Linked DNA regions of Drosophila melanogaster. The protein of the gene in region 1 interacts with the protein of each later gene in a pairwise test. Each region holds a gene or a part of one and is shown in the gene's direction. Other genes may lie near its edges.

The links.
Region 2: the proteins of Cfp1 (region 1) and CG31121 interact in a two-hybrid assay, tested with the Drosophila melanogaster proteins (one large-scale study listed by BioGRID).
Region 3: the proteins of Cfp1 (region 1) and SmydA-7 interact in a two-hybrid assay, tested with the Drosophila melanogaster proteins (one large-scale study listed by BioGRID).
Region 4: the proteins of Cfp1 (region 1) and Usp12-46 interact in a two-hybrid assay, tested with the Drosophila melanogaster proteins (one large-scale study listed by BioGRID).

What each region holds. Positions count from the first base shown.
Region 1 is NC_004354.4:9,269,880-9,274,946, reverse strand, and holds Cfp1 (CXXC finger protein 1), read left to right. Parts: upstream 1-1,986; 5' UTR 1,987-2,057; coding exon 2,058-2,281; intron 2,282-2,343; coding exon 2,344-3,031; intron 3,032-3,092; coding exon 3,093-4,172; 3' UTR 4,173-4,513; downstream 4,514-5,067. Other genes in the region: aladin, read right to left, coding at 1-20, 257-633, 691-975, 1,036-1,433. UniProt on the Drosophila melanogaster protein: Component of the SET1 complex that specifically di- and trimethylates 'Lys-4' of histone H3. Essential for Set1 association with chromatin and trimethylation of histone H3 at 'Lys-4' at transcription puffs.
Region 2 is NT_033777.3:24,891,593-24,896,469, reverse strand, and holds the start of CG31121 (uncharacterized protein), read left to right. Parts: upstream 1-1,864; 5' UTR 1,865-2,285; intron 2,286-4,634; exon of another isoform or gene 4,635-4,877. Other genes in the region: CG11069 (uncharacterized protein), read right to left, coding at 1-59, 119-584, 640-784, 864-1,054, 1,116-1,224, 1,299-1,358.
Region 3 is NT_033778.4:17,042,744-17,047,311, forward strand, and holds SmydA-7 (SET and MYND domain containing, arthropod-specific, member 7), read left to right. Parts: upstream 1-1,999; 5' UTR 2,000-2,154; intron 2,155-2,206; exon of another isoform or gene 2,207-2,218; 5' UTR 2,219-2,234; coding exon 2,235-2,287; intron 2,288-2,338; coding exon 2,339-3,602; intron 3,603-3,659; coding exon 3,660-3,809; 3' UTR 3,810-4,025; downstream 4,026-4,568. Other genes in the region: RhoGEF2 (Rho guanine nucleotide exchange factor 2), read left to right, coding at 1-884, 947-1,156, 1,217-1,327, 1,389-1,577; SmydA-6 (SET and MYND domain containing, arthropod-specific, member 6), read left to right, coding at 4,102-4,166, 4,222-4,350, 4,408-4,568.
Region 4 is NT_033777.3:22,749,027-22,753,954, forward strand, and holds the start of Usp12-46 (Ubiquitin-specific protease 12/46), read left to right. Parts: upstream 1-1,874; 5' UTR 1,875-2,340; intron 2,341-4,928. Other genes in the region: rumi, read right to left, coding at 213-1,312, 1,363-1,498. UniProt on the Drosophila melanogaster protein: Catalytic component of the Usp12-46 deubiquitylase complex.

The sequences.
Region 1 (5,067 bases):
TTCCTTCTCATCCGCCGAAGCTGCAAGGAGATACAAAAACGGAATATGTTAAATATCAACTAGTACATTGGTACCGGTTTTTGTTTTTGTAGTCAGCATTATACAGGCGGTCTGTAAGCTGCAACAGCCGCCAACCTGTTACTGACTGCTTTGATCTGGGGCAGCCCCAAATCGCACCCTTGTATCTGACCACCGTTTCAGTTCAGACACTGGGAGCAGACTGCCCTGAATACGTACTCAAAGCTTTCGTACTTACAGGATAGCAGACTCTGTTGCACGAACTGCAGGCGGTAGAGAATCGGTTCGGCACTGCTGACGAAGAGCAGGAAGCGACCGCAGGGCGACCAACAGGCTGTTTGGACATAGCCTCCGGGACCGCACACCCATCGCTCGGTGGTCCATTGCTGGTGGCAGTTCCACACGCGGAACACCCGATCCACGGTGGCTGCGAACAGCCAGTCATTATCCGGCGACCACTTCAGCAGCGAGCCCGGCGGACCCAAACGCTTGAGTGGCTGCATCATTCCGGTGTCCGGCTGCCAGATAATAATGGAACGATCTCCTATTGAGGCGGTGGCCAACTGGGTGCCATCCTTGTTCCACTGCATCGAGGTTATTGGCAGATTGTTTGGGCTAAAAGGGAAAATAAGTTATGTATTTACCAACTAACGATAAATTTTCTATACTGACTATTTAAAAATCTCGCTGGGTGCATTTGTGCGTCCCAAATGCAAAGTGCTGTCCACTTCCCAGAAACACAGACCCTGCCGACAACCTATCACGATCTCGGAAGCGCAGAGTGGACGCCACGCCATGCAGGTGATCTGCGTTTGGGATGGACTCTTTAAAACAGTGGCAGTGGTCGCACTGGAACTCTTTGTGTAGATGCGCACCACATCGTCTACACCGGCTACGGCTAAGCAAAAGAAGTGCTGATTCCAGGCAAGATAGCGCACATCGCTGTTGAGCCAATCCCTGAATGAATGGGACAGTAAGGTTTAGGTATTATTGGTCAGTTGGCTGCGCCCCACCCACCTGGTCTCCACGAACTGAGCAATACGCTCTGCACTAAGCTGCTGGGTGTGCGGGAGGATCCTCAGGCCGGTGGCCAGGCCCAGAAATTGTGCGATTAAATCACCCGCCTGGGCAATAAGCGGCGCCTGCTCCCTGGTCTCTGGGCTGCGTGCCTCCTCCAGCGTCTTCCAGAATCCGCCATTAAAGAAGCTGCGAGCTATGCGCTTTAGGACACCCTCATTCACAGATACGAAGCTCTGTCCGCCGTAGTACCGCTGACCAGCCGGATTGGCCAGAAGTTCGCTGTTCAGGTTTATCTGCGGATAGCGTTCCAGCTCTGGGATGTGATTGTGCCGCAGCGCCAGATCCGGCAGCGTGGAGAACGGCGGACACTGTTTTAGGTTGCTCAGGGCCGCCATAATTGCAGACTATTCACATTCAATTCAGTTCAGTTGAGAAAAAATGGTAACGAAATACAAAGAAAAAACCGCGCGGTTATTAGAGGTGAGAAAAAGCCGACAATGTCAGTGGTAATTCGATGCTTAATTTTTCTATCGATGTTTAATTTTACGAAACTTCGAAAATACTGGGCCGCGGCAAAATCTTAAAGATTATCGAAAAATAAAAATTAGGTATATATAAAGTAACAATCTTTTGTAGGTTTTATATTCACGTTGTTTCTCTTTCAAGAACTCTATTTAATCTCATAGATCTCGAACACACTATCGTTTGTTATTAAGACTATGGAATTAGTTCTCTCGATATAAGTGTTACGAAGCATTTTATATTTATACACAGCTTACAATAAATACCTAAAATTGTTTTTATTGTATAGTCATACATCAATTAAAATCTACAACGTAGTTTTATGCTAAATATTATATATTTTATTAGGCCAGAACCTATCGATTGTCTGCAATACATTATTAGTAGGCTATCGATATCCTTTCATTCACCATCTCCATCGCAAAAAAAAATTCCATGAAACTTAATTGACGGATTTGGATTTGGACTGGATTTGTTGTCGGAAAGATTGCTGCGAGATGACGGACAAGCGCAAATATAAGAAGACCGTAAGTTTCACCCGCTGCACGGCAATCATATTTTTAACTACAAAGGAGGTTTCCAAACAGAAAGAGGAAATCAGGCGGGAGATCGCACGGGAATTTGATTTGCCTGAGCGCAAGTCCAAGATAGCCACCATTCTAAAGCAGGAAGACCAAGCGTACTGCATATGCCGCTCCTCCGACTGCTCCAGGTTCATGATGTGAGTTGAATGGCCTTAAAGGGCTAGATCCCGGCTAACTACTTGTACCCTTCGCTTTCCAGAGGCTGCGATGGTTGCGAGGAGTGGTACCACGGCGACTGTATAGGGATCACCGAGAAGGAGGCTAAACACATCAAACAGTACTACTGCCGGCGCTGCAAAAAGGAGAATCCCGAACTACAAACCATATTCCGCCTGGTGGCCACCGAACGGGCAGCCGCATCGAACGCCGCCTCTACAAGTCTCAATGCCCCGGGCGTAGGTCCATCGGGAGCTGCGCCTGCTGCTGCACCGGTGGCGTCCGCAACAACCAGCCAGCAAGCGCCGCCACCGACCACTGCGGCAGCGAAGCGCAAAAACAGCAGCGCCCGAGAACCAAAGATGGGCAAACGTTGTGGTACCTGTGAGGGATGCCGGCGTCCCAATTGCAACCAGTGCGACGCGTGCCGCGTTCGCGTGGGCCACAAGCCGCGCTGCATATTCCGCACCTGCGTTGTCCAGGCGGCGACGGTCTTAAAGGAGTCGCAGGCAACTCAAGCCGGCCCAAGTAGGAAGCGGGAAAAGGCGGCACCCAAGAGTCGCAATGTCCAAGTGGGCCCGCGGGCGGCCAGTCCGGAGATATTCCTCAATCCGGAGCTACAAGGCATCCGGCAGTGCTACGGACCCAATTGCTGCTCCCATGCGAGACCGCAGAGCAAGTACTGCAGCGATAAGTGTGGCTTCAATCTGGCCACAAAACGCATCTTCCAGGTTAGTTTCATTTTTTGGCCAGACTATGACAATTAAACACCAAAGTCCTTTACACTCTCAGGTTCTGCCGCAACGACTGCAAGAGTGGAATCTAACGCCCAGCCGCGCCGCCGAGGAAACACGCAAGCATCTTGATAACATTCGTCATAAGCAGTCCCTGGTGCGTTTCGCACTTGCCGAGCTAGAGAAGCGCTCCGAAGAGCTCAACATGGTGGTGGAGCGAGCCAAACGAAGCTCCATTGATACATTGGGGTCACAAGACACCGCCGACATGGAGGACGAACAGAGCATGTACTGCATCACCTGTGGCCACGAGATTCACTCGCGCACTGCCATCAAGCATATGGAGAAGTGCTTCAACAAATACGAATCGCAGGCCAGCTTCGGGAGCATATTCAAAACGCGAATGGAGGGAAACAATATGTTTTGTGATTTCTACAATCCGGCAAGTAAGACTTACTGTAAGCGATTGAGAGTATTGTGTCCGGAGCACAGCAAGGATCCGAAGGTGAACGATACGGATGTGTGTGGTTCGCCCTTAGTGAACAACGTCTTCAATCCCACGGGCGAGTTTTGTCGTGCGCCAAAGAAGAATTGCTTCAAGCACTACGCCTGGGAGAAGATCCGGCGTGCTGAGATAGATCTGGAGCGTGTGCGTCAATGGCTCAAGATGGACGACCTGATGGAGCAGGAGCGCGTGATGCGGCAGCAGCTCACCTCGCGAGCGAACCTGCTCGGCCTGATGCTGCACTCCACCTACAACCACGAGGTGATGGACGAGCTGGTGCGCAAACAGCAGGAGCATCTGGTAGAGTTCGAGAAGCAGAGGCGACGCCTGGCTCACCAGCAACAAATACAAACACAGCAGAAACAGTACCAGGAAAAGCAGAAGCTAATGTTGCAGCAACAACAGCAACAGCAACAACAGCAGCAGCAACAACAACAGCAGCAACAACAGCAGCAGCTGCAACAACCACAGCAGCAGCAACAACAGCAGCAGCAACAACAGCAGGAGCAACAGCAACTGCAATTGAAGCCACATCATCTGCAGCAACTTCAACTTCAACTGTTGCAGCAGCAGCAAAAGAAGGCCCAAATACCACAGAAAACTCAAATTATATACCTGCAGAAAAAAACATAGATTTGTAGTCCCCTAATCATAGCAAGAACTAACAATAAACTGACGTCCAAGAAATATTTTTCTACGACAGTAATCTTTGGACTTACCCGACGCAAAGTTTCTAGTGTCGCCTTTCTCCTGGCAACCGCATAACACGCTCGCCAGCTGTTGGGTCCGCTTCCCGGCCAGTAGTAGGTTGCTACGCGCCGGGATCGGCGGTACGCCCATGTTTGTTATTGAAAACTAAGCATCAAATATGCATTTATTGATAGCAACATGCTATTAATACATTAGGCCAGCTCAACCGTGGATATCATTCACATGGATTACATTAGCACACACCTTAATATTAGTTTATTAGCTGGATTCAAGTTATTTATAATTTCTATATACGATTTGTTTTCTGTTCATTGTTAGTTTGTATTTAGAAATAATCTAGAAAATAAGTTAGCATATTAAATACATTTTCTTAAGCTGTAGGCTTTTTTTAATAATGCAGGTTAATATTACTGCATTAAACAAAGTCATGAAAAAAAGAATACTCTACGCTCAACATATTTTGAAGATCATATAGACATAGGCCACCGAGTCCGGGTTTTGATATCCGAAACAATGGTTCCGGGTAAATGAAGAGCGGGGGGCAACCATTGGAAACGGCAGGACCTTGAAAACGATGGAGGCTATGGATTAGAGTGGGCATGCTGTAGTTGGGAGCCAAAAGGAATGTCAGGACGCACAAGTGCAGTGGAAATTTCAAGCGAGTCTGAACGAATCCGGCTACCCGGGCAATCAAGTAGTCGTGGCGATTTGTGACTGTTCCCCCAGACGAACTGTCAAAAATGCCAGTCGTTGTCCGGAACTTTTCTACATCACACACGACCTGCTGATTCAAAGCCAGGAATACAGTTCATTTACA
Region 2 (4,877 bases), on another chromosome or scaffold:
GCAGAAATAGTGTCTTCATACCAACGAGTCCACAGGAGAAGGTTGATGCTAATAGTTTCCTAAAAACGAAGTCAAGAATTTTATCATATTTGAAAAAAAAGAAGTAAGTTTAACTTACAGATACAGCATAACCCAAACTTTGAGCTCTCCAGGCTTTCCATAGGCCAGAGGCACTTTCCCAGAACCCATGTTGTTTAGAGGGGCATCCGAGATCGGTGTTTCCCGAGAGAAACGTTCCACCAGCGCCTCGATCTGCTGGCTAGACTCCAGGAATCGATCCCGACTGCGACGATCCACAGTGGACAGGCAGAGATAGTACATCAAGGGATTCTCGAGCTGTGGACAAGGGAATCCGATGCCATGAAAGTACTCCAGCATGGCACGAGTGCCTCCTGAATAGACCACTCCGCCCAGGCAGAGGAATAGGGCTCTATCCAGGAATGGGAACACATCGGAGCGAGGTTTCTCCAGCGACAGAAGAATTCCACAGCCCGTCTTCTTGGCCGTGTTGGACAAAATGGATATCAGCAGATAGGCACTCAAGGGATCGAGGCCATGGGTCGGCTCATCCAGCAATAGCATGACTAAAATAACATTTTTGTTATTTAAGGAATCTTTGTGATATATTCATCATTTTACCAGGATCTCTGACCAACTGTATTCCAATAGCCAGACGCCGTGCCTCACTGATATTAAGATACTCCACTCTCTTATGCGCCACTTGGGAAAGGGCCAAATCCGCCAGCACTTGGCGCACTTTGGAACTCTTCAGATAGCCACTCAACTAAGAAGGGTTTGGGTATTAACACAGTCAGTTATTACTTAAAATCTCTTCATATTCATTATTTTATACAAATACTCACTATAGTGGGGGTATAGTGTAGTGTTTGGGCCACCGTTAGACCAGGAACAAAGGTGCAGGATTGGGTGACATAGCCACATCTCTGTTGGAACAATGCCTTGGAGAGCGGAGATCCATTGAGTAGCACCTGACCACGAGTTGCTCCATCGGCACGTCTAGAAATAACATCTAAAAGAGCTCTCTTGCCGCTACCTAAAGTTGGTAAAATGATTATTATTATTTTGTTTTAACAAAATGTAAATTAAAAATATACCCTTCGAGCCCAGAATGGCCATAACCTCGCCGCTGTGCACGGTTAGATTGACGCCTTTGAGCACCAGGGCCGAATTGCCGGCTCCATTGAAACAGCCACCACCATCCACCTGTTGTTCAGGCCAAAAAGAAAACAATAAAGGTTTAATAGCAGGGGGTTTTCACGAGTCTAAAGAGAACGTACCTCGGTGGTGTGGAAAATGTTGTGGGCTTCCAGTACGTAGTCGCTGCCGATCATTTTCATAGCCACCGCTGGGAGAGCCGCTTTTGTTTGTTTATACTTCTCGTGCTCTTTGGGCCGAAAACACTCTGTTCGTAACTCAAGAGTGGTTTGTTAGGAGCTGATTTTCAGTTCCAGGGAGGGAAGAGAGAATATCAAGAGTGTAAAAGTGAGATTGAGATGTAGAGATACTTGATTATAAATTGGTATTTGGCTAAAACTGAAAACTAAAATTTTACACAATAAACAATTAGGAAAAATCCAACACATATTTTTTCAAAAAACTTTAATACATATTTTATATGATATTTTAGATGCTTTATTAAAATATTCTTCGGTAGTCACTTACCTCCGCGAACACGTCCTCACCAACTGAGCGCTCTGTTCCAACTGAACTGAAACTGTTGCTTGCCATTCCAATTGGCATGGCTTGAACCGCTCCGCTCCGCCTGGAAAGCGGCTCTCTCCGGCCAACTCGCTTCCAGGCGAAGCAAGCGGGCTAAGATGGCGGCCGAGGCCAAGTTCAGATCAGTTCGCTGCGAGCCGAGCTCCGAGAGAGTTGCCTCCACCGATCCGCGGTTCGCGTCGATTCGATTTTTTTCTGGCGGCCCCCTAACACACAGTTCCCAGAAGAAAATTACAAAAAAAAAATATGAAAACACATAAAACGCATTTGGAAATCTAATTGAAATATTCACGGCTTAACGGGCTATAATATACACACATATATCTGTGCAAAGGCGAATATTTTTTAATGACCACCGGGAAGTGCATGCAAATGTGGTTATTTGTTGACTCGCGGAATATCCAATAGATACAAAAAAAAAAAAAAAATAAAAAAAGGAAAAAGTGGCCAATATCCAAGTGACGTGAGTGTGTGTGTGAGCAGTGTCTATATGGTCTATATAAAATATGCAGACATCGGTGTAGCCAGCAGATCGACATTGTAATGTAAGTGTTTTGCCCAAGTTATGAATGAGTGTCACCGAGCGGCTAATTAGAGTCCAACTGGCCAACTGGTATTTACTGTTAATTGTATTAGGCCAACGGCAGCACTTGCCACCTCGAACCAAATGAAACCGACGAGTATCCACCACGGTCCACGTTCCATTCCTTTGGGTATAATACTAATACCTTCTGGTTCTTCTGTTTTTTTGTACTCCCCCCCTCTTCTGTTCTTCTGTTCTGTTCTGTTCTGCTCGCGCGGTCGTCACCATCGCAGGTCAAAGATCCCGCGAGCGGGTTTTGTCTAGCAAATGTATCTTAGCCCACACTCCATCCACCACTGCCACTGCTGGCACTTCTTTGCCGCTCTCCCTGCGCTCAGCGCCCTGCAGAGCCCAAGCGATCCAAAGTGGAAGTCCAACTCGATGCCAAAACCAGAACCCAAGTGCCAGCCAAAGCCGGAGTCGCTCAAACAGCCAAGTGCCTGCTGCTCAACTCAACTCCACTCGGCTCGGTTTGTCTTGTCTTTTATTTTCTCTGCAGCTCACTGCTCCGCTGCACAGGAAAAAAAGCGAGATAATAAATCTAATATACAAGCAATATATCATATTTTAAATATTTATGTTTTGTTTCATCAAATGGCTTCATTTCATGTTTCAGCTAATGGCTATAGCATTAGTATAGTGTAAAAAGATATATCCTTGTTGCAAATTGAATAAAACAAATTTATTTAATTATTTAGTAAACTGTTTCATTCAAAATATTTGATATTTTGTTTTTTAATAGTTCAAATTATATTTCCAACATTTTTATATCACATATCATTATGTAGTATTTCTCGCTGTGTGCCAGTGTGTATCTCACAGATACAAGTTTCAGTTTGTTTGTTTGTTTGGCCGGCTGTCTTTGCCTTTGCCATTGCCTCTTTGCGGAGCTGGGTTCTTAGCTCTCCGGGGATCGCTGGTTGTTTGCTCTACCCGCAGATGCTAGCATCGTCTTGGTCTGGTCATTTCCTCGTAAAAACTGCCTTAAACTTACGATCGAGCACTATAGCCATTATTTGTTTTTATGTTTATACTTTAAGCACATAAATAACTTTTTATGCGCCTTAGAATAGTTTGCATAGCTTATGGGTTCTTTTTTTTTGCAATAACGCAAAAGACTTTGACTTTATATAACCATTCAATTTAATCTACTCATTTCTGTAATAAATGATTGCAATATATGTTTAAAGAAGAATAAAGTTTGTCACGTATTTCGATGACCCGGAGAGCGATGGATTTAATTTCGAACAAGATGTGAAAGCCATAACAGGTCTGAAAGACATTTTTCGCTGGGTAGAGGCAAATACTTTATTCCGGCGTGTACTCTTCCTATATCGGCTCATAAAGAATAACCACGCGGCTAAGCAACTTTCACATTCATTTTGCAATTTCGATGCAGCTGCCAATCTGCGCTCACAATCACTTTCAAAATTTCGTGCCGCGGAACTTGATTTCTCATCGAAAATGAGCTGCGGGCTAATGGAGATTTTGGCGATTGAGATAATTTGGGGCTTTAGCACCATTCTCAGGGCCCCCCCAACTGCAGATTATTGTCAAGCTAATGCCTTTGGCCCTTCGCAATGCAAATTCCCAGCCTCCGTTTCGGGTCCATTTCACTGAATCTCGCACCTAATTAGCCATGTCATGTTGGCCGGACCGTTAGAATGCTGTTAAAGCCATGGCCAAGCTCATTGAAAAAGTTCCAAAATGTATTTTGCTTCTTCGAGCTGACTTGCTGGATTGTTTTTCTAGATTTTCCCATTGTCGTCGCTTTTTGCCGCCGTTTTTTGTGGCGTAAATTAGTTAACAGTATTATTATGACCGCTAACGGGGCTCCCTGATTTGTGGCTGCTGTTCAGGCCCCCCGCAAAAAAGATATCAAGCCATTCCGGGGCAGAGAGAAAAAAAAGCGTTTAGAAGCGGACCGACAGGCAGCGATCGTAATTCAATTTCGACAATTTCAATTCCAGTCCAGAAGAAAACAAATACAGAAACTGAGAAAAAAAAAGGAAAACAAATCAAAAGACTTAAGACAGCAACGCGGAGTCTAGACAAAAAGACCAAGGCGCGGCAAAGAGCCAGCTTAAGTTGAATTGATTGTCAGTTATGGCTTTGTGGTGAGTTCGGATCCGGAGTGGGGTGCTGGTGGTATCTAGCATTGGGTATATGGGATCTGGTCTTTGTCTTGGGTCTAGGCTGGTTTTCTGATCGGTTCTTTATAGGTGTGGCTGCATCTAGTTGGCCAAAACTTGTTCTTGTTCTCTCGGCCTGAGTCCTCCATATGTGTATGTGTTCAATTTCAATTGAACTTAGTCGCTGGTTATTCCGATGGATGGATGGATGAATCATTGCATTTAATGATAGCGGACTCTGGATGAAGTCAGCGGCGGGCCATTGGAATGACGATGATGATGATGATGATGATGAGACGGAGACCCTTGGTCGCTGGCAAAGTGAAAACTCAACGAGCAGGAAATGCAAATTCGAAATTTCCCACTTGCATAGGCAATCTCTCCAGCTGCGGGGCCATTAAAAGTTGCGACCATGAAAATTG
Region 3 (4,568 bases), on another chromosome or scaffold:
AGAAGTTACGCCGCTTGGACGCCTCCATTAGGAATGATTTGCTGGAGAAGCAGAAAATCATTTGTGATATCTTCCGTTTGCCAGTGGAACACTACGACCAGATTGTGGACATTGCCATGATGCCAGAGGCGCCGAAAGACAGTGCAGATATTGCTTTAGCTGCTTACGATCAGATTCAAACCCTGACCAAGATGCTGAACGAGTACATGCACGTCACGCCTGAGCAAGAGGTCTCAGCGGTGTCCACGGCGGTTTGTGGCCACTGTCACGAGAAGGAAAAGCTTCGTAAGAAGGTGGCACCATCCTCATCGTTTTCTTCATCACCACCACCGCTGCCGCCTCCCAATAGGCAGCATGCCCAGGCTCAGGCCCAGATACCGCCATCGCGGCTGATGCCCAAACTACAAACTCTTGATCTTGACGAAGTTGCCATACACGAAGACGATGACGGATACTGTGAGATCGACGAACTGCGCTTACCGGCTATTCCGTCCAAACCACATGAGCGGCCCACAACGCCACTGGCTCCTTTCAATACTGAGCCGAAAACTTCACAATCTGTTATAGATGCCTCGAAACGTCAATCCACTGATGCCGTTCCGGAGGGATTACTGGAACAAGAACCACTCGAAGGCGATAAGACGGAGACCAAGGGTGAAGATAATGAAGTGAAAACTGTGCCGTCAGATAAGCTAAGTGAATCATGCAATGAAGAGAGGCAATGTGTGGAGGCGGATATCACAAAGGAAGTGGCAGATCCAACGACCTCTAAGAATGAAGCTGCAGCATCGGTGGATGAATTACCAAGCCAGAGCCGGGAGATAAAAACGGCTGAAAACGCAAGCAAATCTGTAGCTGACAAAAAGGAAGACAACGAGGAAACCGTAAGTATACAAAATGTTATCAATTTGTGACAAGTTATCTTTTAATTAATGTCCTCCTACAGATCGAAGAAGGTGTGGCATCCACGGTCGATAGCTCCACTCAAACATCACCAACTGAATCGCCGAAAGAGACGGATAAGTTAACTGGAGGATCGAGCAGCACCTGTGGGCCGAATCGCATTCAGCACGCTAGTGTGCTGGAGCCGAGTGTGCCCTGCCATGCACTCAGCAGCATTGTAACAATACTGAATGAGCAGATTTCCATGCTTTTGGTAGGTTCTAACTTATTTAAGCCGAGATAAGAACTATAATTTCTATTTACCTAATAACAGCCAAAAATTAACGAACGCGATATGGAAAGGGAGCGATTGCGTAAAGAGAATCAACACCTTCGCGAGCTCTTGAGTGCGCTGCATGATCGACAGCGAGTTGATGAAGTAAAGGTAATGACTCAAAATAAATAAAGTAGAATATCAGAAATGTTGATACTGTGTCTTTTCGCAGGAAACTCCGTTTGATCTAAAGAAGCTGATGCATGCTGAGGATGTAGAGTTTGACGATGATATTGACGCCATTTCCAACAGTTCGCTGACGCCAACGCCTACGCCGATTCCCACAGCATCACCAAGCGCCAGCGGCCAGGTAGAGACAGCGGAAGCCATGAGGATTACTAGCACTGAGGATGAGGAATAGGAAACTTGTTTAATTTTTTTTTGTATAAAATACATATTTGTTCTTGTTTTTCCCGCACGCATTTGACCAATTGAATTGGCGGCGTCTATGTTTTACGAGTAGCCTTTCTTAGAGCATGCCTTTTACTACTGTTAATGTAGCTTCATTTGTTTTCTTAAAATATTATGTATTCCACAAGAGCCGATAACACTTTAAATTAAGTCTAACATTGTCCCCTCGTAAAACTAATTAAATACATATATATATGCATATTATCGACTTAAAAAATATCAGATAAACACACAATGTTTGATACATTTATAAAGAACAATAAACAACATAGTTATTGAGAAGAATAGCACAAAAATGTCCATATACATATCTTTCCCGTAAAGGGAAAATAAAGTGAAAAGTAGACACGTTAGTGCGGCATCACCTCTTCCAAACGAGTGATTCTATAAATAAGTCATCATCTCGTTCGAGCTATGCACGCAATTAGCAAAAGTACTTAGCAATACGACAGGGCTCCTGAAAAAGAGGGATATTCCTCAGCCAGCAGCACTGCAGAGTATATTTATAATTGCTCAGTGCGTTTTAGGTGAGTAGACGAACCACAAGCCACGACGGCGATGGCAGAATCACTAAATTACTTTTCTCGCCAGGCAACAGACGTAATCGATGCAAGAATTTGGCGAAAATATTCAGCATGCTCACGATGAGAAGTTGGGCAGGTAAGTTCAAATAGCTTTCTAAAACAATAGTTAAAGTGTAATTCTGTGCAGGCATCTGGTGGCTAGTATAGCCATCGAACCGGGAGATACCATATTGGAGGAGCGACCCTTGCTGGTAGCTCCACACTGGGAATGCCATCAGCTGAAGTGCGCGCAATGCCTTCAGGAATCCTATGTGATATGCCGAAGGTGTCAGGTATTTCCCCTGTGCATGGACTGCAACCAGCATGATGAATTCGAGTGTGAGTTTTTCACCAGCGGAGCAGGAAAAGCCCTCTGCAAGGATATTCTTGTGAAGAACTTTGGCATATGTGGACTCCTAAAGCTCCTTCTTCTGCTAGAGAATCCTCGTACAAAAGGCGATTGCCAAATGCTCATCGATGTTCCTATAAATCTGAGTGATTACCGCGACGGAGAAGGAATGTGGCAAGAGCACGAGGAGCTAGTGGTGCGTCCACTAATGGAGAGTGGCCTAGCGGATGTTCTACCCACTCAGGAGCTAACTTCGGATGCACTTCACGCCCATTGCATACGTATCGACAGTAATTCCTTCGAGGTGACCGCAAAGGATGGTGATACCTTGAAGGGAATTTTTGTTTGGGGTGCTACTTTACCGCACCACTGCGTTCCAAACACGGTGGTGGCCTTGGATGAACAGTTCAACATGAAGCTATATGCGGCGGTTCCCCTGCAGCCTGGCGACATCATCTACAACTCGTACACCAATCCTCTGATGGGCACCAGTCAGAGACAACACCAACTGCGTCTAAGTAGAAGACTGGAGTGTATCTGCTCGCGCTGTCTGGATCCGACCGAGATGGGCACCCACATGAGCAGCCTGAAGTGCAAGGAGTGCCCCGGATTTTCAGTTTGCGAGATTGATTCAAATGGAAAACTTGGAGACTGGCGCTGCCCGGATTGTAGAGCCCTGTTAACCGCTGCCGAGGTCCACGAACTACAGGCTGCAGTGGGATCGGCCTTAGTAGACGCCATGGGTGACCTGCAGGTATACGAAGCTCTACTGACCCAGTACGGGCCACTGCTCCATCCCAATCATTTCATGCTGCTGGACATCAAGCAGAACATTGCCAGTATTCTGCGAGCGGCTGCTTTAATGAACTCCATGGACCAGCCGTGCAAGAAACTTCTCGCCCGCCGGGTGGAACTCTGCTCCGACTTACTGCCCGTCTGTCGGGCTGTGGTTCCAGGCATCTCCAAGCTGTATGCCATTGGTCTGTTTGAGTACTTGCTGGCCTTGGTGGAGCTGGTGGAATTGCAATTTGCCGAAAGTGATCTGAGCAAAAAAGAATATGTGGTGAGTAAAGTGAATACCCTTTTAAAATTGCAATTATTAAATAAATGCAATTCACAGGCTCATTTAAGGACCGCGAGTCTGGTGGCCACGGAAGCAATGGACCTACTTCGCTTTGAGCCAGAAAACTCGGCAGAAGGCTATCTTGCAGACCGGATTTCAATGGAGCTGGAGCGGATTGAGTCCGATTTGAAGAAATACGGCAGATAATATCCCCATTTTGGGTACATATCTTATATCCACTTTGTGGCCCTGCTCCGGCAATTTTTAGTCTAAAACAAATTTGATTAGTCGAAGGGAAGCGAACACAATGCGCTCCCTTCAGTTGTTGCCACTTTTACATTGTGTACCGGCGACATGGTTCAACGTATGGCTGGGTGGGGGGAATCATTGACCAAGAAATAAATAAAGAATTGTCGTTCAATTAAAAATAAGTTGCCAGCATGGCGCTGGTTGTGTTGTCAGTATGCCAAAGGTAGCCAAAGGGAACGGGAAACAGAGAATGGCCGCAGTAACCGACGATTTTGCAAGGAAGTGCGAGATAAAGCAGAATGACACGCTGGGCAGGTGGGTGCATCTATAACCCATTTAAAATATTTAACCCCTGTGGGTTTCCCTGAAGATTTGCGGTTGCCCTCTGTAATGTTCGGGCTGGCGAGACCCTGCTGCTGGAGAATCCTATCGTGGTTTTGCCCCTAATGGGCGAAAGACGCTGCTCCAAGTGCTTTAATCTAACCGAGAGTTTTTGTCGGTAGGTGGACTCCATACAAATGTGTTATCCATTTACGAATCTTATGTAAACCCTTAGAAAGTGCCGTCTGTTAGCTTTGTGTGAGGATTGCTCGGATCATGACGAACGAGATTGCAAAAGGCTTGCTGAAATGAATTTTTCGGACGACCAGGTGGAGCTGCTTCAGAAAAAGGAGCACACCGAAATCCAGCCAGTTTTGAAATGCCTGCTGTTAAGAG
Region 4 (4,928 bases), on another chromosome or scaffold:
AAATATATTTTAAACTTTGAGTCTTAAAACAAATGGCTTTCGATTGTTATAAAGATTGTATAAATGCTATATATATAAATAGGAAAATATTCGAGTTGTTCTCTAAATCTTGGACATCAAAAATGCATGGAATGCGGACAGAGAGATTCACGCTGCTCTAAGCAACTTAATACAAAATGAGAAATGCTTAAACACAATAACATTTCATTTCGCTACAGCTCATCCTTTTTAGGCCCTATGTAAATAAGTTGATCCTCCGGCTTAACCTCGTATTGCAGCAGCTTCACATATCGCTTGAGCAGCTTGCGCCAATAGCACTTGATGTCCTTCATGCGCAAATGCTCCCAGATGAAGTCGTATCCACGCTGAGCGATCTCCTGGGCCAGCGCATCGTTTTTCTTGAAAAAGGACAAGATGTGCTCGTACTCCTGCTGACTGGGGTAGCTCTTGAGCGGCACATAGTGCACCCAGGGCTTTAGTTGGTCGTAGAAGAACTCCTGCCACTCGTCGCCCACATGGAAGACCAGCGACTTGCAGAGGAACAAGTGCTTCAGACGAAAACTGGCGGCCACACCGCGGAAATTGAACAAGTACTTGTACTTGCAGTGGTCCTCGAAGGACACCTCATCAGCAGCCGGTGCGTCCAGTGTATCCTTAGGCGACTTCCAGCCCTGATTTTTGGTGTATTGAGCCTCGACTAGCTCCGGATTGCGGCGCGAGAGCAGAATAAGAGAATCACGTTCGTCCGAGGTGCGTGAACCGCGAAAGAAGCCCAGACTGCGTTTCTGTGACCAGGGTATAGCTGCCGCTCGCTTCTCCAGCTTCTCGCGCATCTGATCCCAGCGTCCAATGCCACGAGGATGGAGCTTGGTGGCCGGTCCTCCGGCCCAGAATGTCCACGCTGGATACATGATGTCGCGGTACTCCTTTGTCTTGGAGAAGGAGAAGACGGGACCACCAGCCGCGTTACCCCACGCCGCATTCAGCTGCGGATAGTCCCTGGTATTGATGATCAAGTCCATGTCGGGCAGCGTAGCCACCAGCGGCAGCAGGAAGTGTTCAATGCCCTCACAGCGGGCTGGGAACATGCAGTTGGCATCCCGGTACAGGCGATGTCCGTAGATCTTGTATTTGGTGCCGTAACGCGCTGAACTCTCGATCATCTGCCGGGTGACACCTGTTGACTTGTAGGGCGCGAGATCCCGTTTCAGAACATTTGCGTGGCAGGAGCAGTCGCTGTCCTGGGGATCACTGCTGCACGGCTTGTAGTCGGCATTGGCTTTTTCGATCTGGCGACGTATCTTGAAGCTAACTAAATTAATTGATTAATTAATTAATCGAAGCCGGCAACAAGTTGCTTACATTCATCCTCGTTTATTTGGTCGGGTTCACTTTGTGCACAGGATTTTTGATCGGCACTGCAAAGTCCGTCATCTTCTGCACCTCCTGTTCCTACCAAACTAATTAATAATACGACTATTAAATGATTTATTAGCATTTCTTTGGATGTAAACAAATTTGTTGGCCTTTGATTGCGGCGTCAGCAATAGGGTTGCCAAGTCAACTGAAACTATCGATATTCCAGAAATGTTTTTAAGGACATAGTTTTTAAAGTAAAATGAATGTCTACAATTGATGTAGAAAATAAAAGACTTTCTGCCATTTAGCTGCAAATAACTTAAGAGGAGAAGTAGTTGTGTTTTTAATAACTTTTTGTTACCTGGCAGCCCAGGCAGCAAAGCAGTGATTGAACTGTTACTTTCTTAGGCAGACCATGTCACTGCATTTGCAGGCAAAGCCCTGCAGTAGTAACCATTATTTTGTATGACCATCCATGTGATGGTCACCCTATGCGAGTAACTGTTCGCCGAGTTTTACTTTTGACGCGGTGTGCACACACTGGCCGATCCAACCATTATAAGAAAACCAACAAGAAACGTCGAAAGTTTTCTCCGTGTTAAAGCCAGCCAATAGCCAAATTACAAACGAAAACGACGATTTGCAATTTGCAAATTATGCGTGCGGCACCTAGTGCAATCGAAACCACGTAAACCCAACGAACGCGAGTGTTTTAGACCACCTGCAACCTGAAACAACCACCATTGTACATAATTTACACGAACAATTTTGCAACGACAACAACAAAGGACGCCGCGCTGAAAGAGAGAAGTTGACATAACTGCAAAAAGTAAATTGTATTTAACAGTGGTGGGCAACTAAATAAAGCCCGGATTGTAATATTGGCAACGAAAAATCGTAGTGGGAGTGGCCCAATTGCGAAAACGATGTTGTTTTGTTGAGACAATTGCCAAAAAGCCACCAAAAGTTCAACTAAAAAAGGTAATACATATGTATTTTTATTTATTTGCAAGTGTATCTGCATCTGTATGTGTGCGCGCGCGTGAGTGTGTGTGTGGGCGTACTACGAATAACAGTTAATTGAGCACTCATCGATTTTTTAGCCCCTTTATTGTGGCTCCTAAAAAAGGCAACTTAAATTCATTTCACCTCACGATCCGATCGCCAGATAAAATACAAAAAATAGAAAAAAAATGGAAGAAAAAACTGTTGGAAAAGTTGCCAGCCATCGTCATTAAGTTGATTTGCTACCGCCGCCGATGCTGCGATTTAATTTACCTGGCATTTGGTTTGCTTTCGAGAGCTCCAGTTTCCCATTCCGCCGCATTCCACCTGGGCTTTTCGTTTCTCGACTTTGATTTTCGTTTCCCATCCAGCGGCCGATTTTCCTGCTCGCCGACAAAAAAAAATCGTATCGCTTTCGTTTTCACATTGGACGGCGCGATATACTGGCTTTTTGTTTTTGGTCCGCGACCTAGGGTCGCATTGCCCCGCCCCTCCCGCACCAGCCCGACCGTCCATCAAAGCACCTGACTAATTAGTGTTGAGTTATTAACTTGATAATTATCGCTAGCCACGAGCGAGGTGCACTACTGGAGTTCTGCAGTGCAGGCCTACTTCCGTAACTCTAAACATCTCTTTCATTTTCCTAAGATATATGTATGTATAAACCATTTTAATGGCTTACTTTAAATCTTATTGTACAACATGGATTAGAGTATGTTAGGAGTAATCTCCAACTTATTTAATGTACTCATTTCGTTGTAATAATGTAGTATGATATCTTAATCAGATTCAACATTGTTGTTGATGAAAGTTAGCGGAAGTTGAATTGTATCTGTGCCTTGCAGTGACTAAGAACTAACTTGGCTATCTTTGAGGTCTTTTCGTTAAACTCGTTTGGAACACCATATCGAAATACTGAAAACGTTAAATACAAAAAAAAAAAAAAAAGAAACAAACACAGTAATTCGAGCTTGGCGCTGACTAAAGCTTCGCTTTGTTTATGGAAATATATGTGGTCATAATCAAGCTTTTGGAACCGAAGTCACACGTAAATCTTTTCTGCGCATTCAGACGTATCGATGCGATTGGGAGCCCCTCGACTAGCGTTTCCAATCAATGGTTCTTGGGAGAAAAACTTCGAATCATTTGCATTTTCAGTGGCGTGGCGACCCTCGCCTTCTAATGACTCGATTGATTTCCATTTTGGGCAACCTTTCTCGTTTGTGTAATGCCGGAAGTCGTTTGTCGTAACTTCTTGTATTGATTATAGATAATAATCGAAGAATGCTTTCCGTAGAACGTCTGCCAAATGGTCGTTGGCCAGCTAAAACAGCTGCCATTAGCCGCAGTCACGCTGTCTGGCTTGGGTCATACATCATTTATGTACTCCACTCCTTTGGGCAGGCAAATGACTGAACCCCCGCCCACCACCGATAACCACCCATTTCCACCAACTCCCACTCCGAAGTTCACGTGAAATGTGGCATGCCTAACCCAACCAGATGATTCATCATAACGTGGCATAGGCAGTTTATGCAGATTCCCTACCTTCCTTCCCTGCCAGCCAAGTGGCTGTAACACATTTTCATTTATGCTCCGCTCTCGCACACAATTTCTCCACCCTCTCGCATTTTTCCGTAATTTCCTGACTGATGAGTGAGCCTGCGCATTGGAAAATCGCTTTTCCAGAGCGGTAACTCGCCTGCCGAGTGGTGTGTTGAATTTCTGTTAGCTTCAGGGCTGGGTTGCTATTTTGACATGCTCTTCGGAACTTCTGGATTCATTATTATAGTTTTATTTTTAATGAGATTTTAAGAGCTTATCAATTTTACTACAATTTCCACATATATTGCCCTCTAAGACACGCTTTTGTTTAGAAATTGTTGCCGTCTTGTTAATTCAATTCCACACACTTTCTTCTGCCGCAGACTGAGACTGAAAATATATCCATTTCGCTGCGCATCGCATGTCCAGCTGTGTCAGCTTCTTTCGAATTCTTTGATGTTTCGAAATTGCCTGTCCGTAGATAATTCAGTGCGATTATATTGCGTGCCTGCTGACTGACCGCTCGTACATCATTAGCTCATCGGTGGGGTTTTGTTAGCTAATGGCCATATACTGCAACTGCATTAATAACATAATGTTTGTGTCATTAACCTGCGAACGGAACGAGTTTCCTGCTCGCGCAGCTGGAAAATCGCTTGCCTTTCGGCGGTGGCGGCTCTAATCTGCATAGAATGCGGATCGTCTTGGAAATGTCAGCTTCTCCCCCTCGCAAGAAAACCAGTTAACCAACTAATAGTGGGCCAAATTGCGATTGGTAGTATTTCAGTAGGCTATTCGAACGCATGCGTGACCGCGTTCGACAGTTGGTTTTGTTTACATTTTGGGTTATTGATCGGCTGGCGCACGATTTGATTCTCCGTGCGCTTATCATCAGCACGCACACCATGGTGATACTACACATATATGTAGCTAATGCGGCGGATCTGGTCATGGGCTCTGTGTCATGGAGAAGCATTCGGCTGGCTATCAGCACGAGCATGCTGCTCCAGTTTTCCGCG